Saccharomyces cerevisiae S288C: one gene and its partners. The main gene of each other region encodes a partner of the protein of the gene in region 2 in a complex. Each region holds a gene or a part of one and is shown on either strand. Other genes may lie near its edges. A codon is read from its position in the direction of its gene.

Region 1 (2,710 bases), on a different chromosome or scaffold from region 2:
AAACCCGCCCGTTAGTGCATGGAGTGCCAGGTAAGTTGTCGTGGGGTTCACCCGGAGAGGCTGCGCTGCCATTTTTTTTTGCGACTTTACAATTTAAGCTACCTATTATGTGATAAAAAATTAAATGTAAAAAGTTATGGGTGTAGATATGTATGGGTCTGAGATTAATACAGTCCCCAGATTGAGAAAGTTTTCGTGAAGATTATTTGTTGAGTAACAACAAATCAAAGATCCTCTTCAGTCTTGAACAGTCAATTGACACAGTACCACACTATCATTCTGAATTATCATAATATGATTTCGTGTGTTTTAGGTTTTAAAAGTATCTTTTGAGAACACGGTGGACCTGAGAGCGAAACGTCAATATATGATTCACGCAGGGGTGCTGTAAAACAAATGAAAATGCGTTGTATAATATCCTAAATATATCATGTTTCTTTGTTTCTATATCAAATTGCCATTATTAGTTAAAGTAGTTTATACTAGTTAGGCTTCTTCAGTATTTTTTTATTTTATTATCTTGGTTTTTATTGCTTTTACACTAAAATCTATATGTGTTGGCTGGTGATCGTCAATAAATCCATCGACGTTGGCCTCTTAAGTTCTTAATCTTTATGTTTCATTTAGTTTATACAAGCGTATTTGATCCATATTCTAGAATTTTTAAGTTGAGTTTTTCAAACTGTTACTTAACCATTCCAAACCTTCATACAAACCTTCACCGGAGGTAGCACACGTGGCTTGGATAAACCATGGACGGTTTCTAATAGAATGTAAACCTAGTTTTTCAGTGATTTCAGCAGCAGACATGGCTTCTGGCAAATCTTGCTTGTTAGCGAACACCAACCAAGCGGCGTTTCTCAATTCATCTTCGTTCAACATTCTTTGCATAACTTCTCTAGCTTCACCAATACGCGATCTATCGTTAGAATCGACAACAAAGATAACACCTTCAGTGTTTCTGTAGTAGTGTCTCCATAGAGATCTAATTCTGTCTTGTCCACCGACATCCCAGACAGTGAATGAAATGTTCTTATATTGGACAGTTTCAACGTTGAAACCAATTGTTGGAATGGTAGTGATAACTTCACCCAATTTCAACTTGTACAAAACGGTGGTCTTACCAGCACCATCAAGACCAACCATAAGAATACGCATTTCTTTGTTACCAAAAAGGTTACTGAACAACTTAGAGGCAAACAAACCCATTTTTAATTCTATTAAACCTGTTTGAGTTCTTTCTTATACCTTCAATGCCAGAGGTTCCAAAAAGTTTCAAAACAAAATGAACTTTCTATCTAGTAAGACTTATAAAAACCACCTCGATAAACAAGTGGATCGAGAACGTGTCAAAGATTCCGTTTCTCTCTCTGTTTTTCCATTTTTCGATTTTCATTTTTTTTTTTGGTTTGACAAATACAAGCCACCTCGTTATATGTGATTTGCAACGCGAAAAGAAATAAAAAGGGAAGGGTAATAACATGGTTTTTCTACAATAAACTGCTATCATTACGGTATTAGTGGCTTCTTGAGAGCTTATTGCGTGACTTTTTTTACTAAACTATTGAAAAATGCAACTAAGTAGCTAGCTTAAAACTATTGCTATCATTATCATTATTACTACTGTTATATATGTGGGCAATGACTTTCTTAAGTATCAGACGAGAATTCAACTGTGCAAAATTAAAAGGTTGAGCGAGATACTTATCTTTTCGTTTAGCTCTTAAGTATCATTTACCAACATTCACTTTACATCCTGCGTACTGTCTTAGGCCGCGGATGAAAACCGAATATATGACTTCGTTGTTATCTTTTTCCCAATAAAATTCGGTTAATCTAATATGCCAAGGTGGGAACCCTTGTAAATCCAACGAAGGCCCGAAGTATAACAGTAAATCTGGTTCGGGTCCAACTAGTTGTTTCAGTTCTGAATCAACTAAATCCATTGTGATGTCAGAAACGCTCAATTCGTTAACCGCACATAACTCAGCCATAGTTTTGGTCAGATCGACAATCGTTTCTCTACCATCTCTGTTAGACAATAAAGAAATTTCAATAGCAATTTTGTCCTTTTCTTGGTTAGCTTCTATCTCATTGCCTACATCAGTCTCGGTTTCAATTCCGTCTAGATTGTAGAATATCTTGTTAGAATGAGGTATTTTAACAGCGTAGTTTGGAACATGAGCTGGCCCAAAATATTTAGCCAGGTTGGAATGAATTTCCATTCTCAGCTCTGGAACATTTCTTTGTAATATTCCATCGTAATCGTACAACATCAAATGTTTTATACCAGCTGAAACAGTCCAGCAAACAATTTCACTCGCGTCATTTAATAAACCTGTCACACCGCCGCCAACGTCGCCAACTGGCTTGACTTCCAAGATAGCGGCCAACCTTTTAGGAATTTTTTTCAGAGGAATAACGTCCTGTCTAATCAACTGTGGTGTATATGCATGGTTGTAGATGATACTGAATATTCTTAGTTTCATTTTATTATATTGGTATTGACCGTACCGAAACAACCCGAAGCAGATGTATAACAACACAAGTAAAAACTTGTAAAAAAGGTATTCAAATTTACCTATTCTTTTACTCAAATCTTCTGTCTTTTGCTTTTGGACTCCATTCGTCTCATTGTTCACTTTCTTCTGAGGGTTCTCATCGGCGTCTGCAATGATACTTGTAACGGCCTTTAAAGCTCTGGTTTTTG
Region 2 (3,763 bases):
AATTTGTGATATTTACTGTTTTGAGCATCAAAATACAATTGCTCTGATTGCCAATCGGTGTAAGTTTTCAAATCTTCGTATAGTAACATGAAGAGATTATCCAACCATCTTTCGCATAGCCTCTTTGATCTCATTTTGGATATATCATTACCGCGAACTTCTGCTTCATCAATGGAAGAAGTGGAGCCTTGGTACTCGTCTTCCATAACGAAAATTTTTGATCTATATTTCAACAGCTGCTCCCATCCTGTTATTTGGACAATTTCTGTCAATAATTTATAGGCTAGTTGGAAAGTAGACTTTAAACTTGACGCAGAGAGATTGACTAGGTTTGGATCTGCGGACTTTTGCTCCAACTGGACATCCATGGGGTTCAATGACGAAATCTCCTCAATTGAGGCATCCAATGGTAATGGCAGATGAAGATTTTCATCTGAAGTAATAGGCGCAATTCTTCTAAGAACGTATTTTTCCTTAACCTGTGACATGGGGCAGGCGTTTAACGATAGCAAGGCATTTGACATATCGTTTAGTTTAATGTATATTCTAGTCAATAAATACCAAGTTTTAAATTCGTTTGGTGCACAGTTAACAGCCTCCATGGCTACTTCCTTAGCAAGCTTGTAATCTCTCTTGACATCCAGTAAGAATTCACTTTGAATACTTAATAATTCGGATTTGAAGATTAGCTGGATATGGCTAGTCTTTGAATCGTCGGCTAAGAACGAAGAGGGGGAATTTAGTTGCTCGTTGATCAGGTCAACTGCATCTATCTCTAAATCGCACGCAAAATAAACACGAATTAATATTATTACTGCTTCTGGATGAATTTCTATTAACTTCTTGAGCATTTTACGACATGCTTCCAAACTCTTAGTTAACCTAACTATTTCCACTAAAGTTTCCACTAAATAATTATTGGTTAACGAGGGATTTAAAACGTGAGTAGGTGCATCTAAATAAACACCTTTTTCATAGACCAAGGGGAACAGTTTAATAAAGTTATTGGCAACATCTTCCAACTCACCCGAGGTAAATGGATTGAAAATTAGTGTTTCTACCAAATTCTGGGATTCTCCATCCGCACGATTATCTTTCATAATCATAATGTCACGTACAATACCACTCATAAACGTTTCCGCCCAAATCATGTTGACGTTTAAATCCTGTGAGTTGCGGCCAGATGACGCTTCTGCCACGGAGGGAAGTTGCGATTGTTCACCGTCGCTATTTATAATGTAGGTTTGCACAGTTCCTGGAATGTGAACTATAATGTTAACATCATATTTCCTAAACGCATTCCAAGAACTGATAGAAATCTTCGATACGTGAAAGTGCTTCTTCTTACCAAACCAAATTTGGGGCGTGTCTAAGAAAAGATCGGTTATCTTTTTGGCAAAGATTGTAATAGAAGTTGGATCCGAAGTATCGATACCCATACAGTAAAAGAAAGTGCCGATCTGCCCCTTTAATTTGTCATGGGAATGTAACTCCGTAACTATGGTCGTAGGATCTTGTCCATTGATGTTTGAAGTTGCTCCGTTATCGTTGGCGGAGGCAGTAGCAGTTGTTGTGCTCGAGGATGAAGGTAACGATTTGATCAAAGTAATTAAATCAGGCGGACCCAAGTCTTGGAATTGTCCCACTCTGGCTCTCCTCTGGTGTAGCGCATAGCCTATCACGTCTTCTTTCACTTCCGGTATGGAGGTTTGAGACAACATGGTTAGGACTTCAAGTTTTCAGTTTATCCTTTTCACGTTCTAAAAATCAATACAGCGCGGAAAGTGCTCTCAAGAAGATGAATTGAGATGTTTAAGGGTCCATTTGTTACTACATTATCGTGTAGATCTCATTTCTCTAACTTTCCATGTAGGAAAGGGCAGGCAGGAAAAAGAACATTAGAGAACATGATCACGATACACGACTAGCGCATTATTTAGTGTATATTACTCTATTATGCATTCTACATGACGCATCTTCCGGAAGAACTTGATTTAGTGTACTTATGATATATAAGCGGTGCATTCACATAGACTTTGGGTCCTCAAGGTCCCACTCCTTCGCTGTGAGACAATATTTTTCTGGGGGAAGCCTGACACCCCACGTACCCATCACTTGAGGTAATGCCTTCTTGTTTCTTTCCGCAGCTAACTGTAACATGAGCTCCTTAGGTGCCGTAGGCTTAAATTGGTATTGTGTTCTCGCTGCAATGGCAAGCCGTATGTCTTCTACTCCTAATCCACTGCCGGCAGAATTTCCACTGCCAGCGTAGTCGTTGTAAACCAACGCGTCCTTAAGGACTCCTTGTGTGTACCTATGTGCAAAATCCATCAATTGTAGCGGTACTTGGTCCTCATATTGATGAATCGACTGTGATGCGAGGAGCAGATGCAAAAGACGGACATCTCGTGGCGTTTCCTCTTGTGTTGAGTCCGGACCAACTTCTGATACTGAGCCCACTGAGTTTTTATTCAAAACATTCTTGCCTCCGCCGTTCATAATGGTCTGTGAAGTCCTCTAGTCTTTTCTTGTTGTCGTGTTGTTTCATAATGTCAAATTCTACTTTTGATTTAAAGCTCTTAGTTTGGTCATGGAATGCATGTCACTATGCACGTTGTGGGACAATTAATGGAAAAAAATTTATTAGGAAGATATTGATCAAAGGCATAATATCACGGTAAAAGGTGAATATAGGCCATTTTAACAGGCTGTCTTTCGAAACAGATTTTTAGCTATGGCTACCTTGCACTTCGTTCCTCAGCACGAGGAAGAACAAGTTTACTCCATCTCTGGGAAGGCACTCAAGTTAACAACCAGTGACGATATCAAACCATACCTGGAAGAATTGGCAGCTTTGAAAACCTGTACCAAATTAGACCTTTCAGGGAATACAATCGGTACTGAAGCTTCGGAAGCATTAGCTAAATGCATCGCTGAAAATACACAGGTCAGGGAATCTTTGGTTGAAGTAAATTTTGCTGACTTATACACTTCGAGGTTGGTTGACGAAGTCGTTGATTCGTTGAAGTTTTTATTGCCTGTTCTGTTGAAATGTCCTCACTTGGAGATTGTGAACCTTTCTGATAATGCGTTTGGGCTAAGAACAATCGAGTTACTAGAAGATTACATTGCACATGCCGTGAATATCAAACATTTGATCTTAAGTAACAATGGTATGGGCCCTTTTGCTGGTGAAAGGATTGGTAAGGCCCTATTTCATCTCGCTCAAAATAAGAAAGCTGCTTCCAAACCATTTTTGGAAACTTTTATCTGTGGTAGAAATAGATTAGAGAATGGATCCGCAGTCTACTTAGCTCTGGGTTTGAAAAGCCACTCCGAAGGTTTGAAAGTCGTAAAGCTGTACCAAAATGGTATTAGGCCTAAAGGTGTCGCCACGCTAATTCATTACGGTTTACAGTACTTGAAAAACTTGGAAATCTTGGATCTTCAAGACAATACTTTCACGAAACATGCTTCTTTGATCCTTGCTAAGGCCTTGCCTACATGGAAGGATAGTTTATTTGAATTGAATTTGAACGACTGTCTTTTGAAAACTGCTGGTTCAGATGAAGTCTTTAAAGTATTCACCGAAGTTAAATTCCCCAATTTGCATGTCTTGAAATTCGAATATAATGAAATGGCTCAAGAAACCATTGAAGTATCCTTCTTACCGGCTATGGAAAAGGGAAATTTACCTGAATTGGAAAAGCTAGAAATAAATGGTAACAGATTAGATGAAGATTCTGATGCTTTAGATTTGCTC
Region 3 (3,763 bases), on a different chromosome or scaffold from region 2:
TCTAGTTTCCTTAGTACTTGAAGGGAAAATATCTGAAATCTATCATAGAATCGTATCCGAAAGGAGATCAATTTCACTAATAGATCTAAAATGATATCGACGTCAAACCTTCTCATAAACTCATCATTAAAATCCATGGTTAAATAAAAGTTCAACAGATGGTGACAACTAATAGGGTCAAACCTTGCCAAAATACTAGTTCGTAGACACGCTACTGCATCGGGTAAGTCACTCACTCGAAGCAGAGTTAAGCCAAGTAGTTCCCATTCCAACCCGCTGTATTTCGCCGTAGCCTTATTTTCTTGAGATGAAGTGCTAATACTTAAATCTTCGTAAACGTCCAGAAACATAGCATCAAACCATCTCTGACAGAGCCTCTTCTGGCGTAATTCTGTGGACAGCTTGTCCGAAGATTCTATCATTTTGAATTTACTCTCCATAACGAAAACGTCAGATCTTAGCTGAAGTAAGGCGTTCCAGCCGATTCTAGCGACTAATTCCATCAACAGAAGACGTACTTGCTTTATAAACCAACTCTCTTGTCTGGTTTCTTTGCTTCGTTTTAGTAACAGCATATCTCCTACTGTATTTACCTCCTGCTGAGATACAAAGTTTATGAGATTGTCACTCTGTGGTCCACAAATAGGTCCTAATTCAAGACAGGATTTATTCCATATCTCTTCAATACATCCATACTTAGATTCATTGGGCATTACAGTGCGTCCAAATATTATTGTCTTCAACTCCAACTCATTTTCATAATGCATAATATTCATGAGGTGATTTAACTCGTGTGATGTCATGGTACAGTGTTCTCTGCTATGACATAGTGGTGCCTTGTAGTAGTTCATATAAAACTTAAAAGCGTTAATCTGGGCTTGTTTAACGATATCATATTCCGCTAAACAGGGCATCGAATTGATTGAGAGCAGTGCCTTATCATACTGTTGTGAAAAAATATAGCCTTTAGATAACAGATACCAAGATTCAAAATTATCAGAAGATAAATTCGTGGCCAATGTGGAAATGGATAAAGAAAGTTCATAGTCGTTATTGTTCAATAGAAACCTTGCTTGGATGCTTAATACATCGGTGATGCAATTGATCAAATCAGAAATGTAAGGTTCATCGGATGGCAATCCATACAGTACGGGTAGTAATAGGTCTAATATCTCGTGTATCCGTTTGATCATTTCTACATCGCGGTCATTACTTCGCTCCATGATAGAAATAATTACAATAGCGTAATATCTAGAATTTGACGGGTCATTCGTCATCAAGTTGTCTAAAACCTGGATCGCATAGTCTGTTATGAATTCTGGAGTTATAGACAGAAATACTAATAATGATTCAGTTAGGTAGTTATTCAGTATCGTTGCATAGACGCTCTTTGTAGAATCCCAACCACATTCTAAAAATCTTGGCAAAAATTTGCATAACGAATCTATCACCCTTTTATAATCACTCGCGCATCTGTTCTCAAAAACAAATGGTAATTCCACTAGCCCAGGTATTTTTCTTTCAAAATCTGAATTAATAATTACGCTTCTTATGCAACAGCTAACGAAAGTTTCTTCCCAAATAAGATCACTCAACGGTATTTCATTGTTGCCATTTAAACAGTCAACGATATTAACTTGATAAACATCTTCAGATTCATATCTTAATCTAATGTCCAATTTTTGAAAGATATTGAAAGTGCAGTAGGTTGTGATGTCGTCGTTCTTCAAAGATGCTGATTTTAGTTTCTTACCATCATTCCATTTTATCAGCTTCAAAAATGCAATTGGCATAGAGACGCTCGAGGCGTCGATCCCCGTGATGTAAAAGAATTCACCTATTTTCTCATCGTGAAATTTATCTAACTCTGTACAATGAATCAAGTCTGGAGGACCAATACCAGATTTACCAGTGCTCACCAATTCACTTAAAAGGGACGTCCTAAAGATTAAACTTTCACCATGTACTTTTTCCAAAGTTCTTGGATAATCTATAGGAACGTTTTTACGTGTTGGTTTCACACGTTGCTGTGGAACAACACCTGACGGAAGAGAACCTGCAGCCTTTTTATTCTTGCCTTTCTTGGACTTTGTAGACCCCCATAAAAAACTCATATTCCTCGAGGCCAATTGATCTGTTAACTGTACTTTACTACTTATACTACTTGATATATATGCCCTTTCTTTGCACACAATGTCTCTTTATTGCCGTTTGTCATTTTGTTTTTTTTATTTTTATGTTGAATTTAGATACACCATTGTGCATACATCTTATTTTTCCCAAACGGTGTAACAATGCCTCGGAAACCTGATGACGAATTGCTAAAATAATACGGCATTGTACGGCACCAGGACTGGCAACGTAGCATTTCCAATATTATAATATTTTTACTCAATAACTGAAAAGATAATAAGAAAATTATAAAAGTAAAAAAATTCTTCCCCGCCAGGACTTGAACCTGGAATCTTCTGGTTCGTAGCCAGACGCCGTGACCATTGGGCCACGAGGAACAAGAATTATTAAGAGACATTAAAAATTGAGAACCCTAAGTATCAGCACTATTTATTGCATGATTTTTTACCTAATATAGTAGTTCAAATTACCAGACCCAACTAATCCTGCTCTAAGAAGTAAGAAATGTGTGAATTTTGAAATAATTGTTGGGTTCCATTGTGAATAAAAGCTATCATTGAGAAATGTTTGAATAATATGATAATTACTGGTGTTCCATTATTGTTGAAGGCTATGATACACAATATACTAAAAGTTCTCTTCGAGGATATTAGAAATGCGGAAGAAGGAATCGGTATTCATGAATAGTAATGTTATTGTCTCGTTTTTTTACTTTATATGCTTATTCTTTATCTTGTTACGTTATCAATGCTTGCATTTCAGCTTCTATTATATTTAATAACCGTTTCTCATTCTTAATGTCATCTTCTTACACTGTGTATGAGAACATACTGCTAATTTGTGTGCTAGTGCATAGATGGTAGTTAATTCTTATTCAGACAAAAAGTTTTAGTATCTGATCTGTTGTTAAACATGTTAGATAAGTATTTTTTGGAATAAAGATCCACTATCGTATATTGGCTAGCGGTCGTGACACTAATATGTTATTACATACTGCATAAATAGAATACACAAATCGTGAGGTACAGTCATCCAATGTTGTGGAAGTCGATACTCAAGACCTAAAGAAAAATAAAATTTCTGAATGAAAAACATAACGATAGTAAAAATGAGCGGTATGTTATGACATAGGAGATAGAAGAACAAAACTGATCTGATCAAATTATTTTAAGAATATTTTACTAGTATGTTTACTACATGACAATCTGCAGCAGTGCCAGCTACATGGTGATCTCTCCAAAACAGACCAAACAATTTGCGCTTGTATTGCTTTTCAAAATAAAACTAAACATATGTAATTGTGCTTACAAGAATTGCTAGCTATATCTTATGTTGGTAATAGATAACGATTAGTAATACCTTTTATGAGAAAGAATAAGGAGGCAATGCCATCATTTTCGCCACATTAAGAGTGCACGACTCTATCCAGGGAATTTGATACAACACAGCAACATTGTCGCCATATTTAAAGCTTTCTACATAGCATAATGTTTTTTTTTTTTTACAATAGATAAATTTCATCCGGAAGAAAAATGAAAAAAAAATGAAAAAATTGGTGAAGTTTATGGTGTAAAATGAGAATCATACTGCTCAAATAGTGACAAAGCCATCATTAATCATAGATTTCTTC

The links.
Region 1: the proteins of BCH1 (region 2) and ARF1 are in contact, whole or in part, in a crystal structure (PDB 4Q66), measured with the Saccharomyces cerevisiae proteins. Residues at the interface, in NP_013964.1 of Saccharomyces cerevisiae: Thr688, Lys689, Asn692, Glu693, Ala695, Ser696; in NP_010089.1 of Saccharomyces cerevisiae: Asp72 (codon at 996), Arg73 (codon at 993), Ile74 (codon at 990), Ser76 (codon at 984), Leu77 (codon at 981), Arg79 (codon at 975), His80 (codon at 972).
Region 3: BCH1 (region 2) and BCH2 share a complex: the UniProt entries of both Saccharomyces cerevisiae proteins name them as parts of the CHS5/6 complex.

The regions. Positions count from the first base shown.
Region 1 is NC_001136.10:114,820-117,529, reverse strand, and holds ARF1 (Arf family GTPase ARF1), read right to left. Parts: upstream 1,210-2,710; coding exon 664-1,209; downstream 1-663. Other genes in the region: NUS1 (ditrans,polycis-polyprenyl diphosphate synthase), read right to left, coding at 1,731-2,710. UniProt on the Saccharomyces cerevisiae protein: GTP-binding protein involved in Golgi vesicle trafficking. May modulate vesicle budding and uncoating within the Golgi apparatus. May recruit the lipid transfer protein VPS13 to Golgi membranes.
Region 2 is NC_001145.3:741,707-745,469, reverse strand, and holds the start of BCH1 (exomer complex subunit), read right to left. Parts: upstream 1,722-3,763; coding exon 1-1,721. Other genes in the region: TAF9 (chromatin modification protein), read right to left, coding at 2,026-2,499; GTPase-activating protein RNA1, read left to right, coding at 2,735-3,763. UniProt on the Saccharomyces cerevisiae protein: Member of the CHS5-ARF1P-binding proteins (CHAPS) which mediates export of specific cargo proteins, including chitin synthase CHS3.
Region 3 is NC_001143.9:489,715-493,477, reverse strand, and holds the start of BCH2 (Bch2p), read right to left. Parts: upstream 2,115-3,763; coding exon 1-2,114. UniProt on the Saccharomyces cerevisiae protein: Member of the CHS5-ARF1P-binding proteins (CHAPS) which mediates export of specific cargo proteins, including chitin synthase CHS3.